Callithrix jacchus: one gene and its partners. The protein of the gene in region 5 interacts with the protein of the main gene of each other region in a pairwise test. Links are inferred from orthologs where the notes say so. Each region holds a gene or a part of one and is shown on either strand. Other genes may lie near its edges. The genes, in order: KIAA0408, VARS2, PAK2, EIF3H, SORBS3, TBC1D22B and TRIM23.

Region 1 (3,500 bases), on a different chromosome or scaffold from region 5:
CTAATTTTTGTATTTTTAGTAGAGACGGTGTTTCACCTTGTTGACCAGGATGGTCTCGATCTCTTGACCTCGTGATCCACCCGCCTCGGCCTCCCGAAATGCTGGGATTATAGGCGTGAGCCACCGCGCCCGGCCTCTCTTGTTTCTTTTTACCCCTAGCTTTGAAGCCTGTAAGAAGGTATGTTTTATAAATGTTTGGCATATATATTAGTAAGGGCAGCACAGTGCTGGTATCCAAGTCTTTATTGAAAAGCATCATCTACAGGCATTAGGAGTAAGTACATTATCTAAACAAATTCACAGTTATGGAGCTGTATAGTACAGGAAGTAAAACATAAGCAGTACTACAGCTACTCTCCAAGATGAAAAAAATATGACAGCCCTTCTATCTCCCTGGAAAGGGATGTTATCTCTATGAGGTATAATTAGATGTCTAAAGCATATTTCGTGCCTGCTAATTGATAAGGCTAATAATATTTACCTTAAATGAACCCTGTAGAATTGTCAGAATACTTATTGGACAGTAATCAATTTAATCAGACAGCAGTTTATTTTGACTACACGGCTTTAAAAATTGGCTAGATGAATCCTGCTTCTCTTAGGTATTTTGCTTGGATGCTAGAATTGTCTGAGACTGTTATGAACTTCCCAAACATGTGAAAGCCAATGACCTATGACTACAGATCAGTTTCTGTTGAACTGGAGTTTTGGATTCTGATTTGACCGGGGCATCTCTTTGTTGATACAATCTCAGTATGGGTAGAGGAGTTAAAGGAGCAAGCAGGACACATTTTCCAAACTACAGGGACAAGAAGTATATTCTTTAATCCCTCATCATATACTACATGCCTGCCTTCTCAGCTCTATTTTAGAGGAAGGGCTTGATAGCTACTTTACTTCAGTTTTCTTCCTACTATGCCAATTCATATTTTATTTGCAGTCAATTACATGGCTGTTAATAAGAAAAATTACTGCACTATGAAAACATAAAGCACTTACTTTGCCTGCAAAAAAGGCCAAGAAGTCTTAAAATAACAACTTTGGTAATGCGCACAAAACCATATAAAGTCAATACTATGGATGTTACTAAAAGAAAGCAAGATAAGCATAAATTACTTCCAGTTGGTGCAAAAGCTTAAATATACATCAATGCAAATGCTTGAAGGAAATTTTCAGGGTCAACGGACTGAGGGAAGGTTAATGGGAACAAAATGACTGTCAGACTCATGATATGTTATTTTTCATAACCTCTTTTTCAATAAATGTGCCAATAAATGTATATAAGTTGATAGAATAAATCTCATGTCCACTGTCATTTTCTGTTTGATATATGATACTCCTTTTGATTATAATGAGTTATCTAAAATGTAATTTCCTTTAATAGATATTACTCATAAATCTTCTTAGGAAGGATCTATGTTCTAATGCCCAATTATAATTTTGCTAATCTATGTCCCACCAAGTATATCTTTCTTGCATTTTACTCCTGGCCCTGGTATTTGAAAACTCACGCAAAATACATACCTCACTTTTGATAAAAAGGCTCTCTAGCCAGAAAATAATAAGTTGAAACATTTTGGAGTGACATTTGAAATGCTTAATTTTCATGCAATGATATAAAATAATCCTTACAATACCATTGAGTAAGATTATGCTATATACTTCTTAGGTGGAATAAGGAAAATAAAAAGTTTCCAATCAAAACAGTCATCCTGCACTTAAACATTAGAGTACATCCACAACAAATTAACTTGTACCTCTTCTATTTTCTTCTGCATAATCTTCCATTGACTTTCCCATTCCTTTCTTTCGTTGTCAAACTGGTCCAGTAATTCCATCTTTTCCTTATGCCACTTAGTCTCTGTGTTCTCCCACTGCTTATGTAGGTCCATGGCAACAGTGTCAGTGTCGGCGAAGAAGTGTTTCTGCTCCTCTCTGCCTCCTCTTAACTGTTTCTTGGAAGCTTGAAGTTGTTTTATTTGAAGCAGTCTCACTTGCCTTTAAAATAAAGCCTAATATAAACATAACAAGAGAGAGTTCCAAATCCATGTGCTTTTTGGAAATATATTTTATCATTTTGTCGAGCCATTGACATAAACAAACTATAGGAAAATTGGACTCAAAAGAAAAGAGATGACAAGAGTCTACTTAAGAAGAAGAAACTAACACAGTCAATAAAGTAGTAAGTATTGTCCAAAGGTTTTTTTCCCTTTCTGAGACCAGACAGCAAAATTATAGTGGACAAGATAATTAAATGCACATGTGAGACAATCATTCCTTTAACCATTTATTCTAAAAATAGATTTTTTTTCATGAATATCTAAGAGGAGAAGTATACAATTCAAATGTATGGTCACGTCTACACACTGTGGCAGATTCTGCTGCAATAAAATTATTTTTTTGGTTCTGATACAACCTGCTTATATATTCTTATGACTTAAATTCCTGAGCCAGAGCTGGGTTGCAATCTTAATTCTTCATTCAGAGATCAAGCCTGTGCCAAATGTCATTACTGTGTTACTTATTAAGACCCCAAAGTTGGTAGTCAACTTGGGACTGATGTACCATTGAGAAACTAACCTAAATTATATTTAAAAATTCATTATGTCACTTCATAAAGGAAAATCTAGAAGCATCAAAACTATACTGTAAAATATATGTTAAAATTTATCCATGCTCTCTTTTCCTTTGAATAGACTATACCCCTGACATAAAGTGCTTAGGAAATTGAATACAGAGAACTGAAGAAAACATGTAGCTCAGTTTTCAGGGAATCCTCTATTACATTAAGTAGTGACTAAAATAATGAAATTTCTAGAATTCAGGGTATGCATATTTAAGGTTTGAAGTCACAATTTAAAATACCAGCTATGTAACTCTGGTATAAGTCTAAAATTTCTGAGATTTAGATTTTTACATTAAAATGGGAATAGTCATAGAGCTGTTAAAAAAGATTAAATGGCATACTGAATCCAAAGTAGTTTGAGAAATTTAAGAAAGTTTTCTATTTTTGGCTTTACAAAATTTTGTTTTGACTTCGATTAAAAATAATTTTGTATTAATAAAGTCATGTGCCTTTTTAGGAGGTAGAAAAGCATGTTTAAAATGTTTGAATCTCTGTGTAAGATAATTATGCCTACAAGATGTCTAACTCTTCAGTCACTAGGCCATTACCAAATTGCTATGACTTACTTGTGGCAGCTTATGCTAATTATAGACAAAGATCCCAATAGTCAGTAGCTTTGTGGGTTCTGGCATTCCCAAATTAAGCCCACATACCCAAGCAGCAAGTGCCAATTTTGTATTCACAAAAGATAATGGCATATTTCATATCCTAAGTATAAGATAAATATCGAAGACTAATTTTATTTTTGTCAGACTGTTCTGAACGTACATATCTGAGTGGTAAACAGTTTTGAATATACGTTTTTTTGAGTCACAGTCAATGAATTAGAATAGAATAAGAATGAAAAACATTAGCTATATATGCAGGGTTCTAC
Region 2 (4,232 bases), on a different chromosome or scaffold from region 5:
TCAGCGCCTGCCATGCAATAAGTGCTAAAAAAAAAAATAGTAGCTGTTGCTATTTTAAAGAAAGAAAAGCAAAACATTACTGGAAAGGGCAAATGTGCCAGAGAAGGAATAGCAGACGTGACCACTGGGAGCAGCAACTTGGGATAACAGCTGAACTGGGATGGGTGGAGTTGATGACAGCGGTTAGGAGTTTTTAGAGTAAGCTGATGTTCCAGTGACATTAGGTGACAGCTCAGATGGCTTTCGTGTCCTCTTGCTGGAGCCCTCATGCCATTCTTGTCTGTTTTCCTAGATAATCCATTTCCTAAGGACAAGGGCCCATCCAGTGATGCTCAAACAGGTACAGGCAGGCTTCAAGATGTCAGAGGCTGGCAGCTGGTGATGAGACAGATGATGGAAAAGAAAAACGGGCATCCAAATCTGGGGAAGGAGCGGAGGGCCAGGTAGTCTGGGGCAGTATTCCTGAGTCCCTACAGCCAACTCTTGCTCCTTGCAGACACCTGTGCTCCCCCCCACCATCACGGACCAGATCCGGCTCTGGGAGCTGGAAAGGGACAGACTCCGGTTCACCGAGGGTGAGTCGCTTTTGGTGGCCAAGGCTTGGTCATTGGTCAGAGGATGGGCAGGCAATTCAGTGTTGATAAGCTGTAAAAGCGTTACATGCATTTTAATTTTTACTTCATGAAATAGGAGAAAAAAGGTGGCAAGAGAGTTTTTTGTTTTGGGGTGAGTCCCTAGGGGAGGGAATAATTCACAGTAATTTCTATTGGGCCTTTATGAATATGACCGATCACACTGGTATTAAGATAAACCCCTGAGCAGACAAGCATAGATCATTAGTTTCTAGAACTGCAGTGGGGGAAAGCCCAGACCACTCTCCAGGGCTGCCACGAAGGAGCTGGGGGGATTTCCAGCAGGAGCTCCGAACCTCACTTTCTCATCTTCTCCCGACGCCCCTCCCGTTCTGCCGACCCCAGGCGTCCTGTATAACCAGTTCCTGTCGCAAGTGGACTTTGAGCTGCTGCTGGCCCACGCGCGCGAGTTGGGCGTGCTGGTGTTCGAGAACTCGGCCAAGAGGCTCATGGTGGTGACCCCAGCCGGGCACAGCGACGTCAAGCGCTTTTGGAAGCGGCAGAAACACAGCTCCTGAGAGGGCAGGACTAGGACCCGGACGGACCTCGGCAGGCGGGACCGGGCGGGGCGGGGCTTCAGAACTCAGGTGTTTTTTATTTACGCGTCGGGACTTTTCTTGTCTAATAAAGTTGTGATAGTGAACAGTGCGGTCCCAGGCGCCTCCCTGTGGGGTCTGCCTTCGCTGCGAACGCCGTCCTCTGCGTTTACTGCCGTTGGACCGGGAGGGAGAGGGTGAGGCCGAAGCAAGCTGCTGCGCATGCGTCGGCCTGAGCCCCGCCCCCATGCGCCGCGCGGCTCCGCGGCCAAGTTCCAGGGTCCGGGGTAGGTGGAGTCCCCAGTCCCTGCAGCCGCGGGGCGCCCTGGGATAGCGGCGGGATCTCGCGGTGAGCGCATGCTGGGGCGTTCTCTGAGAAGTGGGAAGCGCTGCGGAGCCTGGGTCAACGCGTTGGTATAGGCGGGAAGGCCAGGCCGCGCCGAGCTGTGGGCGCTGCAGGAGGCCCCTGGGCTGGCGGAGATCGTAGCGGCCCTGCCAGGACTCCTTGCTTGCTCCTGGGAGCGCTGATGGCCATCATCTCCCTGAATTTCTGTGCCCTCCCCTCACATGTGTCAGTGGTTACGGCCAAGTTTAGACACTCCGGCCGTGCTCCGGAAGAGCCCTGGTCTCCGTGGCTCCACGACACTGTCTGTCGACACTATGCCACTCTAGCCCTCCAGGAGGAAACGTGGTGTGGGAGGGATTAACAGACCCGTGCTGATCAGAGCCGGGAAAGATGGAACAAGGAGAGTGAGCCTCCTGCACCCCCGTATCCTAATGTGCTCTCTCTCTATCCAGAACAGATCTCAGCCCCTTTCCAAATACTCCTGATGCCTCATTTGTCTCTATCCTCTTTTCGACCACCTATTTTGGGGCTGAGGCCCTCATGGGGCCTCCCCAGGTTCCATCCCGTTTCTACACAGTCGGAACCCCATGGATCTCCCATCTCCCGGAGGAACCGTGAAGCCAAACAGAAGCGCTTGCGAGAGAAGCAGGCGACTCTAGAGGCTGGGATAGCAGGGGAGAGCAAGGTTAGGGGTCAGACAGCTAGTTCTTGGGTTTCTGAGATTTGGGAGGGGCTGGACGAGATGCGCTGAAATGCAGATGTCTGGGGTATACTGGATCCCAGCCTCTTCTGCTTTTTCTCCTCAGTCGCCTGCAGAATCCATTAAGGCCTGGAGTCCTAAGGAGGTAGTATTGTATGAAATCCCTACGAAACCCGGTGAAAAGAAAGGTAAGTAGAATAAGTAAAAAGGTCTTTTCTTTCCCATTTGTGTTACCCATTTGGCCCGCCGAAATGCAGCTTGGGAACATGTTCAGTGGTTAGTGGAGCTCTCCTTACCTCCACAGATGTCTCGGGGCCCCTGCCTCCTGCATACAGCCCCCGATATGTTGAGGCTGCCTGGTACCCGTGGTGGGTACGAGAGGGCTTCTTCAAACCAGAATATCAGGTTCGTATCTGGTGGGGAGAGGTCCTAAATGTTCTTCAGGACAGAGTGGCCCTTGAATACAACTGGAACCTCAGAGTTGAGCTGACATTGTAGACTTTGCCTTCTTTCTGGCCCTGGTGTCTCCAAAGATTTCTCTTGGCAGGTTCCCCCTGGGCGATTCCCTCCTCTCCACCCTCCTGTTATTTGCAGGACAGTTCTTCCCTGAAGTTTTTTTGTTTTGGAGACAGCAGAGGGTGCTGTTTCCTCAATCCAATTCTCTCTTGCCCTTTGACATTTTTTCTTCCTCTAGGCCCAGCTGCCCCAAGCTACAGGGGAGACCTTTTCCATGTGTATCCCACCTCCCAATGTCACTGGCTCCTTGCACATCGGCCACGCACTCACGGTGGCCATACAGGATGCCCTCGTGCGCTGGTGAGAGGGGAGTGGAGGCTGCTTGAGTTCTTGGAAGGGAAGTAGGAAGGGTAGGAATGAGTGAGGATAAACATTTAAGCACAGGTGCTCACGGGAGGGCATTTCTGTTGCAGGCATCGAATGCGTGGGGATCAAGTGCTGTGGGTCCCTGGTTCCGATCACGCGGGAATCGCTACACAAGTATGTCTTTTGTTATATGTTCCTTTTCTTGGGTGAAAGCAGTTTCTTCCCTGAAACCAACCTGACTGTTCATTTCCCCTGAATCCAACTGCAGGCTGTAGTAGAAAAACAACTGTGGAAGGAACGGGGAGTGAGGAGACATGAGCTGAGCCAGGAGGACTTCCTTAGGGAAGTGTGGCAGTGGAAGGAGGCGTGAGTATGATGGGCAGGGGTAGGGGGGCCCAGATGGCAGATTTGAGTTCTTATGTCCCACCACTATCACTCCTGACTTGTAGTCCCAACACAGAGATGGAAGCTCTGGAGCCCCTTAATGTTTGGTGGCGTTTCCAAGCCATTTGTGTGTGTGTGTCTGTGTGTATATTATATATGTATTTGAATGTTCGTGTGTTTGTGCATTTTTTCTTTCTCTCTACTTACCCCACTTTCTCTTGTGTAAATCTCAACTTCTTCCACTCACCCATTCCTACGTTCCAATTGTCATGGAATTACCCTCATTCTTCCAGGTCTGTTATCTCATGTTATCTTCTCTGTGAAGCATCCTTGGATATCACACAATGTGGCTGGCCCTCCTCTCTCCCTATAGAACCTTTTGCCTCTTTAAATATCTTAGAAAACCCCATACTGGGTTTGTGAGTCTGTTTCTATTAGCCTGTAGAGGCTGGATCAATGCCATCCTCATTTGATCTTCATCCAGCACCTGGCATTGCTGGGGGCATTGCTGGGCCTGGTATATGGGAAGTGCTTGGGAAGCATTTGCTGACAAGGATCTCTCTGGGCACAGGAAAGGTGGAGAGATCTATGAGCAGCTGCAAGCTCTGGGTGCCTCCCTGGACTGGGATCGAGAGTGTTTTACCATGGATGCTGTGAGTGTTTCTGTGCCTTGGTCCCTGTGAGTGTTGGAGGATGTTTAGAAATCTCTGTGGGGCAGGGAGGTGGCAATGCCTGGGTCCCTAAATAGGGTGATGGGCTGAGCAACCGCTGTTAGAGGTGGACACTCAGGTCATTCCAGGGCTCCTCAGTGG
Region 3 (3,500 bases), on a different chromosome or scaffold from region 5:
CAATTGAGGAACTGCAAATAAAACAGTAACTACTTCCAAGAAGTGACTGTGTTTATGCAATAACTTAGTTTTAGATGACTCTGAAGACTGAAAGTTTCAACTGTTCAGTACCTTTCCATAGTCTGTATTCAGTAAAATAGTAGCAGAAGAACTGCAAGGTAAGAGAGGAAAATATACGCTAGCAAGTTTTTTGTATTCACGCTTGTTTGTATATGTTAACATTACCAAAAGCAGCTTAACAGTTCTGAAGGTCATTACAAATTTTAGTTACATTAAATATCATATCAAGGAATTTCTATTTAATATAGCTTCTGCAACTAATCAGTGGCTAGCTAAAAACACCTATTGGGTAGTTAGTCACCTCTGATGGCTGTAATCTATTTTAGAAAGCAAAATAAAAACTGAGATTTGTCTTGGGTAACCTAAATCAGAACAAGAGCTACAAGAAAAAATATCATTAACTTACTGCTGGTGTTCCAGAAGGGAAGCCATCTTTCTCTGAATATGAAACAAAACATAATGTTAGCAATTCAAGAAATAGCACTTTTATACGACAAAAGGAAAAAAATAAAATAGAGAAAGCAAAATATTCTTAAACTGATTTCAAGTTGAATTAACTCTTGAGAAAAATGACAACACAAGTAGTCAAATAAGAATTTATGTAAGACCGGCTGGGCATGGCAGCTCATGCCTGTAATCCCAGCAATTTGGGAGGCTGAGGTGGGTGGATCACGAGGTCAGGAGATTGAGACCATACTGGACAATGTGGTGAAACTCCATTAAAAAAAACAAACAAAACAAAACTATATAAGAATAAGGTAATAAATCTGAAATCTAAATGAAACTATAAATTTACTAAAAATGAGTGATGAACTGATGAATGAACTGTATTGCATGCAACTTATACCTCAACAAAGCTATCACAATTTATTTGAAACTATACCTATCAATGTGTATTTATTAAAACTAAACAAATTTATTCATAAAGATAGTTCTTCCAGAAAACTGCTGAGGAACTTACTGAAACCATTAAGACAATGACAATTGTGCAAAGTAAAATTTTGACATAGTTTTTTCTTTTAAAAAAGCCTGGAGACACACACACACACACACACACACACACAAATGTATGTGTACCAGATGAAAATAAGCTACTATTTTGTGGCCAATCATTGATTTTTCATAAAAATTACTAATCTGCAGACTTACTGATTGATAGAAAAGTTCTAGGAACATGTCTGACCTTTTCCTAAGGGCATTCTAGACTAAATAAAAAAGGTCAAGATCACTTGCAAAAAGATTTCCATTTCTTCCTTGAGCATGGCCTTTATTTCTGTGAGGATGCAAACATTAAGCATCATCAATTAAAATAACACGCATGATTTTTCCTCAATCATACTGTGTTTGAAAACCACATGTATGACTTCAGAGAAAGGGAAACACACTTAAAAATGACATCCTGAGGATGTAGTGAGCAAAATCTAAACTGAGGGAAACAGGACAAATGATCTTGTTTCTTTAACAAACTGCAAGAAAAGACAGTATGAACCAGTGTGTGGGAGGGGAAGCCTAAAGACCAAAAGAGATTCAAATCTATCAACCAACTGCAATGTGTGAACTTTATTCTGATCTTTATTTGAACAAACTATTTTAAAAAAATCCACTATACCAATTCTTAAGAGCACTGGTTCTCTCATACATCTCAGATACTGAGCAAGTGGGAAAACAAAGTAAATCAAACCCAATTTCCATCCAGCTACATTTATCCACAAAGTAAAATCTACATTACTAGGACTACATAGATTATTCCAGATATTCCAATTCTGAGGTATAAATCCTTTTAATTCTAATGCTTATTTTATATGTGATTTATCTATTTTATATACTAAAATACATATATTCTATTATCTGCATACTTATGAGTTTCATTTTTTGAGTGAACCTAAACATTTTTTAGTTCAAATCTGTGCAAAACAACCTTTCTCTTGGTCCCACTAACAATAAGTATATTTCTAGCATAAACATGTCTATCAATCAGCGTCTTCTCTTTTGATTGCTGGAAGTCATTTAAAAGCAGTGAGAAGTGAAAAAAAAATAAAAATAAAAAACAAAGAGGATAAAAAACCAAATAAACAAAAAGCCAAAATATTTAACAACTCCCATTTCTGCAAACCTATGATATTAATATAATTCACAGATCCAAATTATGCTTCAGAACTGCCCTGGATCAGTCTATAGAAGGTAGAATCTAACCAGGGGAAAAAAGTATGGACAAGAACCATAGTTTATTAGCTTTTTATTTTTCCAGAAGTAATCTTTTCATCTAAAAGTGCTTCACAAATCTCCATCTGATTCAGCCTTATGCCATTGTCTTACCAGGAGGAGTAAAGCTCAGATATTTCTGCTTCACTGTGTTGGAGTCGTAGAACTTTAAGACATCTAGCACAGCCTGAGGATTCTTCTTTTGCTCTAGTTTGGTGATATTGGAGGTCTGTAGTAATCGAGCCCACTGTTCTGGCATGCCCTAACAAAAAGATATTCAGTAATTAGTTATGGTTTAAATTGATTCAATAAAATTAATTTCCAGAGATAAATGACAAAACAGACAAAACAAACCAATCCTCTGAGTATAACTTTGACTAAACTCTAAAAGATCTAGTTTTCTAAAGTTCGATTTTTCTAAGTCTGTTTTGCGTAACTATAATAGGCTCTGCTCTCTAGGAAAACAATATATCCAACCACTAACACTTTTTTAAAAAGCAAAAAGCTTTAAGAATTCATAGTTAACATATGGATAGAAATGTTAATTTATTTTTTTTGTTTTTGTTTTGTTTTGTTTTGAGATGGAGTCTCACTCTGTTGCCTGCCTAGGCTGGAGTGCAACGGCATGATCTCAGCGCTCACTGCAACCTCCATCTCCTGTGTTCAAGCTATTCTTCTGCCTCAGCCTCCTGAGTAGCTGGGATTACAGGCATGCACCACCATGTCAGGCTAATTTTTGTATTTTTAACAGAGATCGGGTTTCACCATATTGGCCAGGCTGGTCTCGAACTCCTGACCTTGTGATCTGCCTGCCTCAGCATCCCAAAGTGCTGGGGTTACACGTGTGAGCCACCGCGCCCGGCCTTGTTTGTTTTTTTGAGACAGAGTTTTGCTCTTCTTGCGTAGGCTGGTGTGCAATGGTGTGGTCTCAGCTCACTGCAATCTCCGCCTCCTGGGTTCAAGAGATTCTCTTGCCTTGGCCTCCTAAGTAGCTGGGATTACAGGTGCACATCAGCACTCCTGGCTATTTTTTTTGTATTTTTAGTAGAGATGGGGTTTCACCATGTTGGCCAGGCTTGTCTCGAACTCCTAACCTCAAGTGATCCGCCCACCTTGGTCTCCCCCAGAGTACTCGGATTACAGATGTGAGCCCAGTCTGAAGTGTTAATTTCAAATTTAGTAATGAAAGAAAATGTTTGAGTGCTATTTTAAATGTTATAAATAGGCCCAAACTAGGT
Region 4 (3,500 bases), on a different chromosome or scaffold from region 5:
AAAACAAAAAATGCCACTATTCCACTAACGAGGTACCTGTCATCAGACTCTTGGAAACACAAAATAGAATGGTGGTTGCCAGGGGTGAAAGAAGTGGAAAAAGGGATTGTTCAATGGATACAGAGTTTTGAGTTTTGTAAGATGAAACAGTTCTAGAAAACTACAGCACAATATGCATATAGTTAACACTACTGTAAGATATACTTAACATTTTTATGTGCTTTTTACCACAATAAAAGGTTACATAGAAAATGAAACCTGCGAGTTCAAACAAGTGAGAAGTTATTTTAAACCTGATTTTAAAAAAATCTTGAAGATGCCGACCTTGGCCTTTGACGTGAGCTTTTAACTGCTGTCGGCCTTTGCTAACAAAGCAACCACGCCTGTAGTACAAAAATAAAATATTCCTAAAATGCTTGAGGAGTATCTTCTTTTTGAAGCAGAAAATTGAACTCTATCTCTTTGTAAACACTGACTTAGTCAAAAGAGGACAGAAGGGAATGAATACCAGACACACAGGGATCATCTATGTCCCTCAAAACTTTAGTTATTTGGCATGCTGACTTCAGATTGACAAACTGACAAAGTCAACATCAACACAGATCCTATCCAAACTATTACAAATCAGAATCATAAATTCCAAATAAGTAAAACCCAAACTAATGACATCTATAGTACATATCCTCATTTCCCAGAATTTATAATTTTCTCAAAATATTAGAAATCAAGTCAAGTAGGCTAGCCTGACATACTCCCAATTCATACATTACCAAAAGTTACAGTGAGAACTGTGTTAACATCCATTTGTATGCACTGCAAAGACACACACTAGTGATGAACACTCTTACCTTCATCAAAGTCAGCATCATCCTCTGTGTGCTGAGGGAAGGGAAAGCAGTTGGTAATTTCAAGCCGATCTTCTACAACCAGGCCCAAAAGCACTCCTTGAACAACTTCAGTTCCTTGTCCTTCTTCTTGATAATGTTTGATTATCTTTAATACCACCTAAAAACACACACACACAGAAGGGAGCTTAACAACATCCTACTTTATTATTTCCTTTATTTCTAAGAAAATAAATAAATCAACCGTACTCACAGGTTTGCAAAACCACAAAATTAAATAAGAAGAATAAATAAATGTCTTACAAATCATTTCCTTTACCCTTACATAAATAATAAAGCTCACATAATCTTAATATATATCTGAAATTCCAGGAGTTTGACTATATGTCAAAAATGTCCATGTACAGCACTTATGCTCTTAAATCAAAGCTCCCCCATAGTCTGGCATCTAGGAGTTCCTTCAGCCAAATCAAACAATACACCCTCAACCTAGAGCTATTATTGAAGAAGTGATCCTGTTAACAGAAAGACACATAAATGACAAAACCATTAAAAGATACAGAGATAAAGGTCTCAATTATCTGGACACCTGAAAGCAGAGCCTTCTGACAAATTCTCATTTTGCCTTTCTCAACAGACCATCTCCACAGTCAGAGGATGCAACAACGGGAATAGGTACCCACACATATCCAATAAGAATCTAGTTGGTAACAAAGAACACAAACAGAGCAGTCTCCAGCACGATCTAGTTTTTCTCAATCGGAAGGATTTGAGGGAATGTGTTCTCTTTCCGGGTCCATGACAGAGCATAATTTTAAGGGCAAAAACTTCCCAACGCCATGCCCCCCTCCCAACTCTCTCCATCCGGGAGTTTTAACGGTTTATGTTTGAATTTCACGGGCGTGGGAAGAAACCAAAAGTCAATCACTCCAGCGGAAGTTCTAACGAACTCCTTTCATTGGCCCAAGGTCTTAAGAGAAGGTGGTGGTTCCTCCCAGGATAAAAGTCCGTGTCCACACACTTGGCCAGATTTCCCCTCTGAAATCCCCTTCCACATTCTGCATGGAAGTCTTTCTCTTCTCCTTTCCTTCTCTTTTCTCTACCTAAATAAAATCACCTTTCTGAAACACTTCTTGGGTCCAACATTTACTTTTATGCGCATACAGCACACCTGCAGGGGTCCCATCACTTATTCTTTAAGGGATAGGAGGCCAAGAACCCACAGCATTCTCTTGGGGGAGCTGTGCCTCGCCAGCACCCAAAAAAAAACCCGGTTACAGATTCATTAAACAACCTCTAATGGAATACTCAGGTCTTATATAACTCTCTCCTTGAATATTCTCATAAAGATAAAAGAGGTAACACAGTGTATGGGTGGACAAGCAATTAAAGTCCATAATAAGAATCATCATCATTAATAATTTTGTGTGTTTTTTTAGGTGGTTCCTACAACATGGGGTTAATATATATAAAGTGCTTTTCATAGTGCCTGGCACATATTATTAAGAATAGTAACATTAATATTTAATATAAGCCCAAGGCCTGAAGACCTAAAAGGCAACACAGTCAAAATTATAATGGGAAGTTCACAGAGGGAAAATAAGTTTAACAAGAAAATGACAATTTATTTGTACGTTATTGATTAGTGCTTCATTTAAAACAAATATATTATTGTTAGAAACTAATTAATGGGTGGGCCAGGCAGACACAGGGCAGGCAGCTACTTCTGCCTGCAGACTGAGCCCACAGGTCAGCTCAGCCACAGGGGTGGCAAACAAACAGCCTAGGAGGGAATCAATGTGGTTGTCAGCTAAACCTGCTCCCACAAAAGTGGAAATGAAGCTAAAAAAGGCAGCAGGAAAGGATAAATCTTCAGACAAAAAAACGTGAACAAAGGGAAAAGCGGAGCAAGGGAAAAGAGGCCAACATGGCTAACGAGGAAACTAAAGAAATTTGCCTGCACAAAATGAAGAAACTAAAACTGAGAAGAGTCCAGCCTCTGATGAGACCAGAAAGAAATAAGCCAAGTTTGATTATGTCAGAATACACCATGTCTTATCGGTGGCCCCTATTTCCCTTCTTGTACAACCCAGAGGAATACTGTTATCAACTATTTTGTAAACACAAGTTTGTGTGAGATACTGAATTATGGGAGGGTTTCACTGTCTTGAGTATCAGCTTAACATTCCATAGTTGGGGGGTTAGCTTTTATATCCTACAATACAAAGCATACTAATCGGCAATATGGAGTTACAGTTCTGCATTTAATGTCTTGAACATTTTAAATTACTTTTATTCCCACATTATTTTTTAGTAGAATTATTTCCTAAAGAGAAACACTGTTTTTGATCATGGCTCTCTCCGTCATAATGGTTGTGCACTCTGTAACATTTTTGGTTGTGGTAGTCCTGTTTTTCTAATTAACTTTGTTAATGTGCTGTGGAAGATTGAAATTTTGAGTATGTAGTCTGTATGCTATTATATTGTGAATTGGTGGGATCTATGTAACAGCTTATCAACATGCGAAAGTACTGGTTCTTGATAATCTCTTCAGGAGAATTTGCTTTCCAATTTTAAGCTGGAATGTCACTAGAATAACTTTTTAAAAATTACAACACATGGCTTTTTAGATTTTCAGTACCTATGTTCAGAATT
Region 5 (4,132 bases):
AGCCCAGTGGGGAGGCTTCGGGGTGGGCCCTGCATGCTTGGGTCAAGGTCAGAGGACCCTGGGCGAGCCAGCTGCTCCTCTGCGTGTCCTCTGTGGGGAAGGAGGAAGGAAGGGAAAGCCCTGCTAGGCTGGGCTGCCCTTGCCCTCTTGGCTCGACCCTGGGGTAGGGGAGGAGGGGCTGGCTGTGGGAGGGGGTCAGGACCAGCTGGGTGCGAGCTCAAGGACCCAGGAAACAGGCCACACCAGGCACCCGCCTGCAGGCTGCCCATGCCTGCCCGCTCCCAGAGGCACAATGGGCCGCTTGTTAGGCCCAGGGCAGGAGCTCTGGGTGGGAGTGGGGGTGGGGGAGCTTGGGTGAGGAGGAGGGAGGGGAGGGGCAGCTGGCCAGGAGCCCGTGGGGCTCTCCCTGCTCAGTGCAGTCCACTTCCCTACTCCCCCCAGAGGGAAGGCACAGGGAAACTGGGGCAGCTGGCAGAGAGGGGGCCTGGGCACGCAGGACTTTGTTTCAGTTCCCTCTGTCTTCCCCAGGCCCTGTGTGGGCATCTCTTGCCCTCGGACATAAGGGATTACTCAGGCCACCCGCCCACTGCCCTCCAGGAAGTGGCCAGCAGGGCCCTCAGCCCGATAAGGCCAAGGGGAGTGGCAGGGGCATTTCCAGGCAGCAAGAGCCACTCTTGTGAGCTCACAGGGAGCACGGGGCCCTTCCTTGGACTCCGTCACAGAATGAGGACTGGCGGGGGCTCCAGGTGGGTGGAGAGAGAAGCAGTGGGTGAAGGCAAAGCTGAACCTGCTCATGCCCACAGAAGGGTGGTGCTGAGTGCCCTGGGTGTTCTGCATGAGGGCATGTGCACACGCACACACACACACACACACAAACACACACACACACTGGCTCCACTTTCCCCTGCCCCACCAGGCTGTTTTGTGAATGGAGGGTCTCTCCTGGCAACACCACTCCTGCCTGCAGCCAGATTCTTCTGCCCCATGCCAAGGCTGGGGAAGGGGAAGGGAGCCCCAGGCACCCAGGGAACAGAGGGGCAAGAGGGGAGCCCCGAGGGGTGGGTGCAAGAGGACAAAAAGGGGCTCCCAGTTTGGAGTGTCCAAGGGGAATTTTTGACCCAGAGCACTGCGCTATGACGTCTGTCCCTCCTCACCTTAGCTGCTGGACTGGACCAGACACAGCCAGGCTCTGCCACCTCCCAGGCCTGGATTGAATCACATTTGCCTGTGCCTGTGGGGTCCTTGGGGACTCTCAGGGAGGTCCGCAAATGCATCGGGAGGAGCTGTCTGTGTGTGTGTGTGTATGTGTGTGTGTGTTTGGGGCGGGGGTGGGGGGAATCTGGGTGCAGAACTGTGAATATGACTTCTGGAGGGGCCCCCGGGGGGACCACATGAGCTGTACAGGGGTTGTGGATACAGAGGGGTGTCAGCTGAATAGTGGTGGGGGTGCAGTCACATAAGCAGTGTAAGAGCTGGGGGGCAGAGGGGATGATGGTAGACTAAGGCTGGGATGACTCATCCCCTGGACCCAGTTCCTGCCTAGGGCTGGCGAGGGTGCAGCCAAGGCTGGGGGCAGCTCCCTGTCTCTGATCTGAGTTTGTGGGGACTCCTGACATTTGAGCTGCTGTGACACAGCTCTTCTGTGCCCATGACGGATGGGGGGCAGGGAGGAGTGCAGCGCTGAGGCTGGAGGAGAAGCAGTTCCCCAGCTGGGTCCAATTAGGACTCCCACCAAAGCAAAACATGCAGACACACCCCAGTCCCAGAGCTCCACCTCCCCTTTTGGGGGATGTTGAGGCAGGGTGGGGTGGAAGTTCCACAGGCCTGGAGCAGGCTGGCTCCTCTCAGCGCCCCTCCCTGCCCAGCTGATTGCTTCAGGCCAAGTTGCTGCTCAGCAGCCAGGGTCTGGGCCATCAGCTGACAGCACCTTCCTTCCCTGGCCTCCCCGCCCACCTCGTGCTCAGTGAGAACTGCCCTTTTGGAGGATGGGCAGGGCAGGAGGTCCCCCCACAACCTGTATTCAGGGGTTGCTGACCCTTGGCGCTCCCATCTGCACCTCCTCAACCCTGCTCCCTGTGACACGCCCCCAGGAACCTCCAGGGAAGGGTGGTCTGAGTTCTCTTGGCAGCCTGGTCAGGAGACTTAGGGAGGACTTCGAAGAAGAGGGGAGCATCTGGTGACTGCTCCCCCATCTAGCAGAGAGTGGAGGGGCCCTCCCAGATTTCAGGCCGCTCTGCCAGGCAGGCAGCCAGCCCCAGGAGCAGGAGAGAGGCTGGGACTCTGCTGGGGTGGGCCCTGGCCTTCCTGCTCTGAGCACTGCCCTGGCCGTGGGGGCCTGGCCCTAAGCGCTTTCCCAGGTATTTCTCAGCTACAAGGCCACGTGGACTAGGACAGCGTTTCTTGAATTTCACTTTTTCTGGAATGAGGACTGGGTCGGGGGTACTTCCCACCTCTTCCCAGAGTTTGGGACATGGACTCCAGGGAGGGACTCAGTGCGGTCCCCTGGGGTTGGGCGCAGGTCCCTCCCTCCGGCCTCGCCTCCTCCCTGCCCCTCCTTCCCAGGACCTACCTTCCCCGGAGAGCAGGTGGCCGGGCCCGACGTCGCCTGGGAGCGCAGGAGCATCCCTGCCCCGCTGCTGCCTGGAGCGGGCGCTCGGGGAGGAAGGGCAGGGAGAAGCGCGGGCCGTCGCGGCCCTCGTGACCGGGTCAGGACTGGCCGGGCCAGGCCGGGCGCCCGAGGAGGAAGAGGGAGGCCGAAGGGGAGCGCGCGCGGGAGGCAGGATCAGGAGAGTAGCGCGGCGGGGCGGGCGGAGTTTGGGTCTCGGATAAGTACAGCGAGCTGGGGCTGGGCCGGAGAGGAGGGGCCGTGAGAGTGCCCTCTGTCCTTCGGGGCGCGGGGACACTGGTGGCCCCTTGCCGAGGGGGCCGGGCCGGCGCGGAGGCGGCGCCGGGAGGGGCCACCGTGGGTCCCCGGGGAGCCCGCTTTGGTTTCCCAGCTGCCATGCCGGCCCGCACCGCGGTGCTGGCGTCGGGGAGGGGTCGGGCGGGCCGACGCGGGCCACTCAGAGTTTCCAGCGACATTTCCAGAGTGTGGGAAGCGAGCGGCCGCGCTGCGGAGTCAGGACAGAGGGCAGGAGTGGTGAACCGCGGGAGGCGGGGGGAGGCGGACAGACCCGGAGCGAGATGAGGGCGCCCCGCGGACAGAGCGGCCGAGAGGACCAGGGAAGGCCCCGCCGCCCCTCCGCGCTGGGAGAGTGTGTGCCTGCGGCGGCGCGCGACTGGGCGTGTGTAAACAAACACGCGCGCGTGCACTACAAACGTGCGGACGCTCACACACGTGCAAGCATGGGGAGGAAATTGGACCAAGGGAGCGGCCCCCTTGGGTGTGCCGCGCCCCTAAAGAGGATAAGGGCGGGGTCCATTTGGCGGGGATGGGATTAGGAGGGTCCTGGTGTTCCCAGACACTGTATTTGTTTTGATCTGCCTGCTTTTCCGCTGTTCTTGCTGCTCTGAGCTGGGTCCCCAGAGCCCCGGCCCTCTGGCTCCCCATCCACTGTGGCCATTCCCTCTTCCCCTCTCTGCCCCAAGCCTCTGTGTGGCACAGGGCCTACTTCAGAAAGCGAGGGTGCTTAAGGAACACTGATGTACAGTGGGAAACCTTGGGATCCTTTCTGGTGCTTGGGTTGGCTCAGGGATCCCCAAGCCTCAAACCAATCAACCAACTAATAGTTATGATCAACTTTAGATACCAGCTGGGAGCGATCAATGCGAAATGATGAAAACTAATGTCATCTCCTGCATTCCTACTGGGTGTCAGGCTGGTGCCAGAGGCCACCATGAGCTTTGGAGTGTTTTCCAAGCTCTCCGTTCAACTCAAAGGTTGGAAGGAAAGAGAGTGGAGAAAAGACTAAGTGCGTTTCAGTCCCTACCATTACTGCTTTAGCTAGCCCAGTTGCTTTGAATCAACATCACATGTGAAAGCTGGAGATGTTTGGGTTGAGATGCTTCAGATGGGGCTGCTGGCCTCTAGCACCTGCGGGGCTGCTGTGTGGACATAGACAGCCGCACCAGCAGCAGTGGGACCACTGGGAGCACATCATAGGAAAGCAGGTCCCAGGCTTCCCAGGAAGAT
Region 6 (4,179 bases), on a different chromosome or scaffold from region 5:
GCAACCTCCAATTCCCGGGTTCAAGCAATTCTCCTGCCTCAGCTTCCCAAGTAGCTGGGACTACAGGTGCACGCCAGCACACCCAGCTAATTTTTGTATTTTTAGTAGAGCCGGGGTTTGGCCAGGTTGGCCAGGATGGTCTTGATCTCTTAACCTCGTGATCTGCCCGCCTCAGCCTCCCAAAGTGCAGGGATTACAGGCGTGAGCTACCGTGCCCGGCAAAAGTTCTCTATTTCTATGTACTTATTTATTTATTTATTTAGAGATGGAGTCTTGCTTTGTCTATTTATTTATTTAGAGATGGAGTCTCCCTTTGTCACCGGGCTGGAGTGAAGTGGCATGATCTCGGCTCACTGCAATGTCCACCTCCCAGGTTCAAGCTGTTCTCCTGCCTCAGCCTCCCGAGTAGCTGGGACTACAGCGCCACCACACCCAGCTAATTTTTGTATTTTTAGTAGAGACGGCGTTTCACTATGTTGGCTAGGATGGTCTCAAACTCCTGACCTCGTGATTTGCCCGCCTCAGCCTCCTAAAGTGCTGGGATTACAGGTGTGAGGCATTGTTCCCGGCCCTCTCTCAATTTCTCCATATTCTTCAAAATGAAAAGGGAATCCAGAAACTTGAGGAAACTGAAAAGACTTCTCTTCCTATCTCAGAAAAGTAGTGCTTTTAAAATGTTGACTCTTCTATAGTCAAACACAGGAGATATGGGGAAAAAAGACTGTTAATAGCAACCACCAGTCAGAAGGCAGAGAAGGCCATGCCATGTCGCACATCTCTTACACTGCTTCCTGATACAAGTTTTCCTATTGATTCTGATTATAATCTTAGGATGTCAAAATTTAATGATCTCACTATGGAAAATCCCAGAGAATAGCAGTCAGCACAACCAGAGAGCTCACTAGACCAGGAAGGAAAACGAATCAGCTGGCAGGAAGTGGTGCTTACCTAAAGACATAGAACATCTTTAACAGTAATATTAACACTGTAAATCCACAGCACTTTAATCTGAAGTTATCTTTGCATTCCTATTATTTTAATAAATATTACTAAAAGCTGATTTCCACCCTATTCTCCATATGTCTAATAGGATCCTTAATAAAATAAGACTTGCTGGGGCATGGTGGCTAACACCTGAAATCCCAACACTTTGAGAGGCCAAGGTAAGAGGATCACTTGAGGCCAGGAGTTACAGACTAGCCCTGGCAACATTGTGAGTGAGACTTTGTCTCTATTTCATTAAAAAAAGAAAAAATTAAGGCTCTTATCTAGCCACTATTGACCCACATTTCTCTCTTGCTTAAAAATAAATAAATAAATAAATAAAGTCTGCTGGACACAGTGGCCCACACCTGTAATCCCAGCACTTTGGGAGGCTGAGGTGGGCGGATCACAAGGTCAGGAGTTCGAGACCAGCCTGGCCAATATGGTGAAACCTCGTCTCTACTGAAAATACAAAAATGTGCCAGGCATGGTGGCGCGCATCTGTAGTCCCAGCTATCCAGAAGGCTAAGGCAGGAGAATCGCTTGAGGCTGCAGTGAGCTGAGATCACACCACTGCACTCCAGCCTGGACAACAGAGACACTCCGTCTCAAAAAAAAATCACGAGTTCAAAAGATGATCTCACAAGGAAAAAACCTGAATCCACTAGAAAAGGTAGCACGTGGGGCACAACCAAACATGAATTTCATCACCAAGTAGACTGTGGCTGGCAGAAATCTTAAATTCACGACTGAAATACACACTCTACTTTATACTTCTCAGGACTCTCCCCAAAATAAACTGAAACAGTAAACCAATAGATTGATGGATGGGTAATTTGCTAAAAGTCTCAACATACACCAAAAAAGGGGTGGGGGGTAGTCTGAGGAGGTCTGCTCTCCAGCGAAACAACTGAAGAATGAAAGAATTTAGTACATTTGCACAAGAAGAGCATTACAATGCAAGGAAGGAAGAAGTCACTTGGGGTTGGACAAATCCTTAGAAAATGCCAAAGGAATAACCCTGATTCTGTGGTCGCCTTGTATTAATTCCTAGTGGGAAAGGGCCAACTCAAGATAAAGTAAGGTCAGGCTTGAGAATTGTCCTCACTTTTCTTACCTAACCCTCTCGGCAAGAAGCCACAAACTCACACCAGAATCCTTCGGGTAATTGTCCAGCTAGGGGAACAAGGGAAGGGGCCATCCTCAAGCAAGCAACCACCTGTGCGTGGTGGAGACCACTGAGAGGGAGTTCTGATTAGAGTGGGAAGCAGCTCTGGGGATGAACCTCCGAGACCAGGGCCGACACTGACTTATCTCCCAACTCCACTGCGGGTTACGCCCAATCTTCGGCCACCTTCCAGCTGAGGTCACCCCTCCTGAAACCTCCGCCCCCAGACCCCGGTCTACACCCACATCCAGCCGTCCCCAAAGCTCGCTGTTCTCTCCTCTGCCTGACAGCTGCTCTGCAGCCACCAGGCAGCCCCAGTTTTCCCCGCCTGGCTTCCCCAAACCAGTCTTCCGGCCTCGGTGGCGCCCCAGGCCCGCGGGATTAGGGATTAGGATCTGGAAGGGTTTGGTCCAATCCCCTTTCCCTCTCAGCGTCCTGGGCTCACCTCCCCGGCAGCTTAGCGCTCCTCTTCCAAAACTGCTTGCTGTTCTCAGCGGCCATTGCTCTGGCCGGGGGAAGGCCTTGTAGGCGGGCCAGGGGGGTTGCCTGGAGAGATGCCCCCAGACCCCGCAATCTGAGGGCCAACCCAGGCCGCTTCCCCGCTGCCGGTCACCCACTCCCAGCTCCTGGGGACGCCATCTTGGATTTGGGCACCCCTCCACCCAGCGCCGCTGCCATTGGTGGGCTGCGCAAGCCGTGGCCGGGCCGGCCAATCAGAAGCCGGAATCCTGCAAGCCACTGAAGCCAACGGGTAACGTCAGGGGCAGGGCATACAGGTGGACGGGGAAGGCGGAGCTTGAAGGAGCAGAGAGGCGGGGCTCAAAGTTCCTGCCCTCGAGAGGAAAGAAGCAGGTAAAGTAAGGGACCTAAGGAATGGAAGAGAGGGGATTATTTTCTTCGTGAGGAATGAATTTCCTGAATCTAATATTTTTTGGCAAGGGCGAGATGTATTTATGTATAGGAATCTTTAACCTAAAAGTAAGGGCCCATGTGTTGATTGTGTTCCATTTTTAACATCTCTCAACTCAGGGACACTCTGGTTATTTACCCTCCCCTTCCTCGTTCCGTTTAGATGTCCGTTCGTTTTTCTGAAGGAAGGTCATCAGGGATCCGATAGCCCGGGGTTGCTAACGGTTCAGCACGTGAGCAACAGTTCATCAGAGTCTCCCTCTCGCTCTGTTTATTGAAAACGATGGAAGGAATTGTGCTGTGGGTGAAAAATTCAAATTATCTAATCCCGATGTCAATTCATAACTCTCACTTTCTGACTATGCTAACAGTGTATAGGAAATGGTTTATGATAGCCGTCCAACTCAGATTACCAAGTACCATTTCTCTGAAGGACACAGTATAGCTCCATCGTGTGAATCACAAAGTTAAGGATACATCTCCTCCTCACCCACCAACATCCTTAATTTCCCTTGTTAATCTATTATAAATCTTGCATCCTTGGATTTATTTTCAATCTAATTTTCACAATGAGATTTAATATTAGCATTTAAAATATCTTGTCGGTGTTTTTTACTGTTTTTGAGTTTCTATGGTTGTATTCCGTGGTGATTTGGGGAGAGAAAGCAGGCACCAGTCTAGAGTGGTTTTTGTCCCATTCAAGGACTGTTGAGGTGGGCTGCGTGTCCCCCACCCCCTCACCCACCCCCCATTCACAGCTACCACATGTAAGTCCAAATATTGGAGAATACTTGAAGACCTGATCCCATGGGTCCTTCCACACATTGGAGAATGCTTAAGGACCTGAACCCTGGCCCCAGCCAAAGAAGGACCTTCTTTATATGTCCTCCAGCTCCCAGTCACCCCTCTATTCTTTTAATCATTTTACCTGCCTTTCTCTGGCGCTTCTTTTTCTTAAGATGCAGTGACCCACTGCACACAAAACCCAAAGAGGAATGTACTAAGGCTTTGTTAAGGTGGATGTTTTGTCTGTATTCTGGACAGCCAGAACTTTTGCTGGCTGTTTGAGCTTTGGAAGAGTTGATGTCTTGAAGTAATAATCTAAAACAACTTCTAGA
Region 7 (3,298 bases), on a different chromosome or scaffold from region 5:
GACCTCAAGTGATCTGCCCATCTTGGCCTCCCAAAGTGCAGGGATTACTAAGGGTGCGAGCCACTGCACCCGGCCTAAGTAATTATAAGGCATCAACTTAAAAAAAAAATTAACACACGAAAACCTTAATAAATAGTTTATAAATAGGGTTATATATTGAAGAGTTCACTACATTTCCCGCTCTGAACACCCATTGTCCCAGGAGCAACCACCAGTAACAATGTATTTTTCCAGAAAATTTCCATGCATGTTCATGCAAATAAACACAAAGAGGAACATAGTTTAGACTTTCTATAACTTGCAGGGTTGGTTTTTTGTTTTTTACATAAACATGTTGAAGATATTCTTCCATTATCAGCACAGATTATCTGCATTATTTTTAATATCAGAATTCCCTTCCATTGTGAGGATACAACAATTTAACCAGTCCTATACTGAATGTTCAGATTTAAGTTTTGTGCTTATATATTACAAATCCATATATATACACACACATATAATACATAAACATACATATACAACAAGAGTTGACATACACGTATGTATATCTGCAAAATTATCTGCAGGATAACCTTTGGATATTTGTCTACCAGATACAGAGAAGTAGAATGGCAGGGTAAAGGACTTTGATGAGTATTGCCCAATTGTCCTCCAAGAAAATGTCTCAGTTTAATAACCCACCAAGAGTGGGGTATACTTATTTAAGAAATCATACAATAATTAGAATATATTTATTTTTACTATATCAGATTCAAATCCCATCTTATTGAAGGAGTAAAATGTATCATATTCAAAGTGTATGGAATTTGGCCCAGTGCAGTGGCTCACACCTGTAATCCCAGCACTTTGGGAGGCTGAAGCGGGCAGATCACTTGAGGTCATGAGTTTGAGACTAGCCTGACCAACATGGTGAAACTCTGTCTTTACTAAAAATACAAAAATTAGCTGGGCATGGCGGCAAGCAGCTGCAATCCCAGCCACTTAGGAGGCTGAGGCAAGACAGTTGCTTGAACCTAGGACAGGGAGGTTCAAGCAGTGAGCAGAGTGCCACCGCACTCCAGCCTAGGAGACAAAGCAAGACTCAGTCTCAAAAATAATAATGGTGTATGTAAGTCTGAAGATTACAAAACACTTTAATCTTTATCTGATGAGCAGAAAATGGTGTTTTCACACAGGCTGCCTAGTATGGCAGGGGCACCTACAGATAATGAACAGTACAATTTCAAGTAGTTTACATAACTGCTCAGGTTTAGTTTCCCCATCTATGACAGGATGTACAACACTTGCTCTATCAAATGCAAACTGGTCTGTATATCAAGGAACATTCACTGACTTATTTGAATGTCTTAAATATACCAGTTGTTAACAGTTTGCCTTTTTTCATTAAGGGGAAAATTCTTTATTCTTCATCCTATTCTTCCCCTCCCATGACATCTCTCTACTTCACTTCTACTCTCCTTCTACTACCTCTACTTAAAGGCATCTCATCCTCCTAGAAAGGCTCAAGGTCAAGGAATCTTCAGCTACTCTCAGTCCTACATCCCGGCCATTCAGTCACCAATTCTACCTCAAAGTCATTTCCATCTGCCTCCACTTTTCTATTTCTCTAATTCGGAGTCTTGTTAATGCTCACTTGAATTATTTAAGCAATTTACTGCATTTCTCTGTCTGTAGTCATTTGCCCTGATTCACTCTACCCCTAGAATTATAGTATCAAAACACCGATATGATCTTATTGCCCACTAGTCCAAAAACATTTTGATGTTTCCTCTTTGCTCATAGAATAAAACCTAAATTTCTCAGTCTAGCTCTGTCAGGGCTTTACAGCATGGTCTTGTCTGTTATTCTAGATTCTCTAGAATACCTGCACCTGACATACAGATATGCTTGATATTCCCTAGACTAAAAACATTCATGCTATTATCATCTCTGTAATGTTCATCCTTTCACATATTGACTCAGCCTCATCCATAATTTCAGCTCAAATCCTAAATTTTACAATCTTACAACATGCCACATTTAGAACTACTCTCCTAATTCCCTGTAACATTCTGTTATTGAAGTCACTTATCAGTTGCCTTTGTATTTGAATCTCACTTATGTGTTCATATGCATACCTGGGAGTTTCTGGTAAACATGAACTACCTTATTTCTATTTTGTATACTCCCAGGTACCCAACACAGCATTTTTCACATAGATGTACTCAAAATACACAGAGAAACTTTATAAATATCTGTGGAATTGATTTTCTGAAATATTTCCAGTTTTCTTATGACATGGAATGCACAAAACTACTAAAATAAGTATTCCAATATAAAAATGCATTACCTGTTTGTTAGCAAAAATCAGGAGCAGAGCATCTCGGAGTTCTTTTTCCGTTAACAACTTTGCAAGTTCACTGTGTGCTTCACTAATTCTGTCTCTATGGCTGCTATCTACAACAAACACAACAGCTACCCAAAAAAACAAAAATACTAATTAGTCACGTGCTAAAGTTCAGTAAATGGACCAAATATTTAATGATATCATTATTATATTATGGTTAGAGTTTGTCTACCATCATCATTTTCACACAGGCTGCCTAGTATGGCAGGGGCACCTACAAATAATGAACAGTATGATTTCAAGTAGTTCATATAACTTCTCAGGTTTAGTTTCCCCATCTATGATAGATTTACAACACTTGCTCTATCAAATGCAAACTGGTCTGTATATCAAGGAACATTTTTTACATAATGAATTTCAAAATATGCCTCATGATCTTCTACCTACTGATGCTACTTGTTCTTCAAATACTATTTTTGTAATATTTTATCTTCAAATAAAAGACTAAAAGATAAAAATGATCACCATTTTTCTCCCTGCAAAGTATTGTCTCTAAGTTAACTATCCCCATACTTTCAACCATTCTTCATATTCAAAATTCCATTTTTGCAGGGCACAGTGGCTGACACCTATAATCCCAGCATTTTGGGAGGCCAAAGTGGGAGGATCACTTGAGCTCAGGAGTTTGAGACCCTTGGGCAATATAGTGAGACCTTGTCTTTACAAAAAAAAAATTAAAAATTAGATGAATGTAGTTGCATATACCTGTAGTTCCAGCTACTTGGAAGGCAAAGGCGGGAGGCTTGCTTGAACCCAGGAGGCAGAGATAGCAGTGAGCTGCAATCGCAACACTGTACTCCTGCCTGGGCAACAAAGCAAGATTCTGTCTCAAAAAAACAAAAATTCTATTAATTATGGCTCATACTAAATATCAAAAATCCCAAAGTAAAAATAATTCAGTCTCTAATCTTG

The links.
Region 1: the proteins of SORBS3 (region 5) and KIAA0408 interact in binary tests that used the Homo sapiens proteins (3 or more experiments, as listed by UniProt). The two-hybrid records come from large-scale screens. The link is inferred for Callithrix jacchus from reciprocal best matches to the Homo sapiens genes SORBS3 and KIAA0408.
Region 2: the proteins of SORBS3 (region 5) and VARS2 interact in binary tests that used the Homo sapiens proteins (3 or more experiments, as listed by UniProt). The two-hybrid records come from large-scale screens. The link is inferred for Callithrix jacchus from reciprocal best matches to the Homo sapiens genes SORBS3 and VARS2.
Region 3: the proteins of SORBS3 (region 5) and PAK2 interact in binary tests that used the Homo sapiens proteins (3 or more experiments, as listed by UniProt). The two-hybrid records come from large-scale screens. The link is inferred for Callithrix jacchus from reciprocal best matches to the Homo sapiens genes SORBS3 and PAK2.
Region 4: the proteins of SORBS3 (region 5) and EIF3H interact in binary tests that used the Homo sapiens proteins (3 or more experiments, as listed by UniProt). The two-hybrid records come from large-scale screens. The link is inferred for Callithrix jacchus from reciprocal best matches to the Homo sapiens genes SORBS3 and EIF3H.
Region 6: the proteins of SORBS3 (region 5) and TBC1D22B interact in binary tests that used the Homo sapiens proteins (3 or more experiments, as listed by UniProt). The link is inferred for Callithrix jacchus from reciprocal best matches to the Homo sapiens genes SORBS3 and TBC1D22B.
Region 7: the proteins of SORBS3 (region 5) and TRIM23 interact in binary tests that used the Homo sapiens proteins (3 or more experiments, as listed by UniProt). The two-hybrid records come from large-scale screens. The link is inferred for Callithrix jacchus from reciprocal best matches to the Homo sapiens genes SORBS3 and TRIM23.

Annotation. Positions count from the first base shown.
Region 1 is NC_133505.1:134,022,110-134,025,609, forward strand, and holds part of KIAA0408 (uncharacterized protein KIAA0408 homolog), read right to left. Parts: intron 2,013-3,500; 5' UTR 1,893-2,012; coding exon 1,758-1,892; intron 1,087-1,757; exon of another isoform or gene 1,000-1,086; intron 1-999.
Region 2 is NC_133505.1:35,708,224-35,712,455, forward strand, and holds the start of VARS2 (valine--tRNA ligase, mitochondrial), read left to right. Parts: upstream 1-1,432; 5' UTR 1,433-1,517; exon of another isoform or gene 1,518-1,971; 5' UTR 1,972-1,998; coding exon 1,999-2,199; intron 2,200-2,320; coding exon 2,321-2,402; intron 2,403-2,518; coding exon 2,519-2,619; intron 2,620-2,908; coding exon 2,909-3,030; intron 3,031-3,143; coding exon 3,144-3,210; intron 3,211-3,304; coding exon 3,305-3,402; intron 3,403-3,991; coding exon 3,992-4,073; intron 4,074-4,219; coding exon 4,220-4,232. Other genes in the region: GTF2H4 (general transcription factor IIH subunit 4), read left to right, coding at 293-340, 497-575, 978-1,150. UniProt on the Homo sapiens protein: Catalyzes the attachment of valine to tRNA(Val) in a two-step reaction: valine is first activated by ATP to form Val-AMP and then transferred to the acceptor end of tRNA(Val).
Region 3 is NC_133516.1:25,336,374-25,339,873, forward strand, and holds part of PAK2 (serine/threonine-protein kinase PAK 2), read right to left. Parts: intron 2,525-3,500; coding exon 2,377-2,524; intron 499-2,376; coding exon 467-498; intron 1-466. UniProt on the Homo sapiens protein: Serine/threonine protein kinase that plays a role in a variety of different signaling pathways including cytoskeleton regulation, cell motility, cell cycle progression, apoptosis or proliferation.
Region 4 is NC_133517.1:80,710,821-80,714,320, reverse strand, and holds part of EIF3H (eukaryotic translation initiation factor 3 subunit H), read right to left. Parts: intron 1,006-3,500; coding exon 849-1,005; intron 1-848.
Region 5 is NC_133514.1:18,945,740-18,949,871, forward strand, and holds the start of SORBS3 (vinexin), read right to left. Parts: upstream 2,801-4,132; 5' UTR 2,570-2,800; intron 91-2,569; 5' UTR 36-90; coding exon 1-35. UniProt on the Homo sapiens protein: Vinexin alpha isoform promotes up-regulation of actin stress fiber formation. Vinexin beta isoform plays a role in cell spreading and enhances the activation of JNK/SAPK in response to EGF stimulation by using its third SH3 domain.
Region 6 is NC_133505.1:45,599,801-45,603,979, reverse strand, and holds the start of TBC1D22B (TBC1 domain family member 22B), read right to left. Parts: upstream 2,801-4,179; 5' UTR 2,654-2,800; coding exon 2,598-2,653; intron 1-2,597. UniProt on the Homo sapiens protein: May act as a GTPase-activating protein for Rab family protein(s).
Region 7 is NC_133503.1:143,903,339-143,906,636, reverse strand, and holds part of TRIM23 (E3 ubiquitin-protein ligase TRIM23), read right to left. Parts: intron 2,455-3,298; coding exon 2,330-2,454; intron 1-2,329.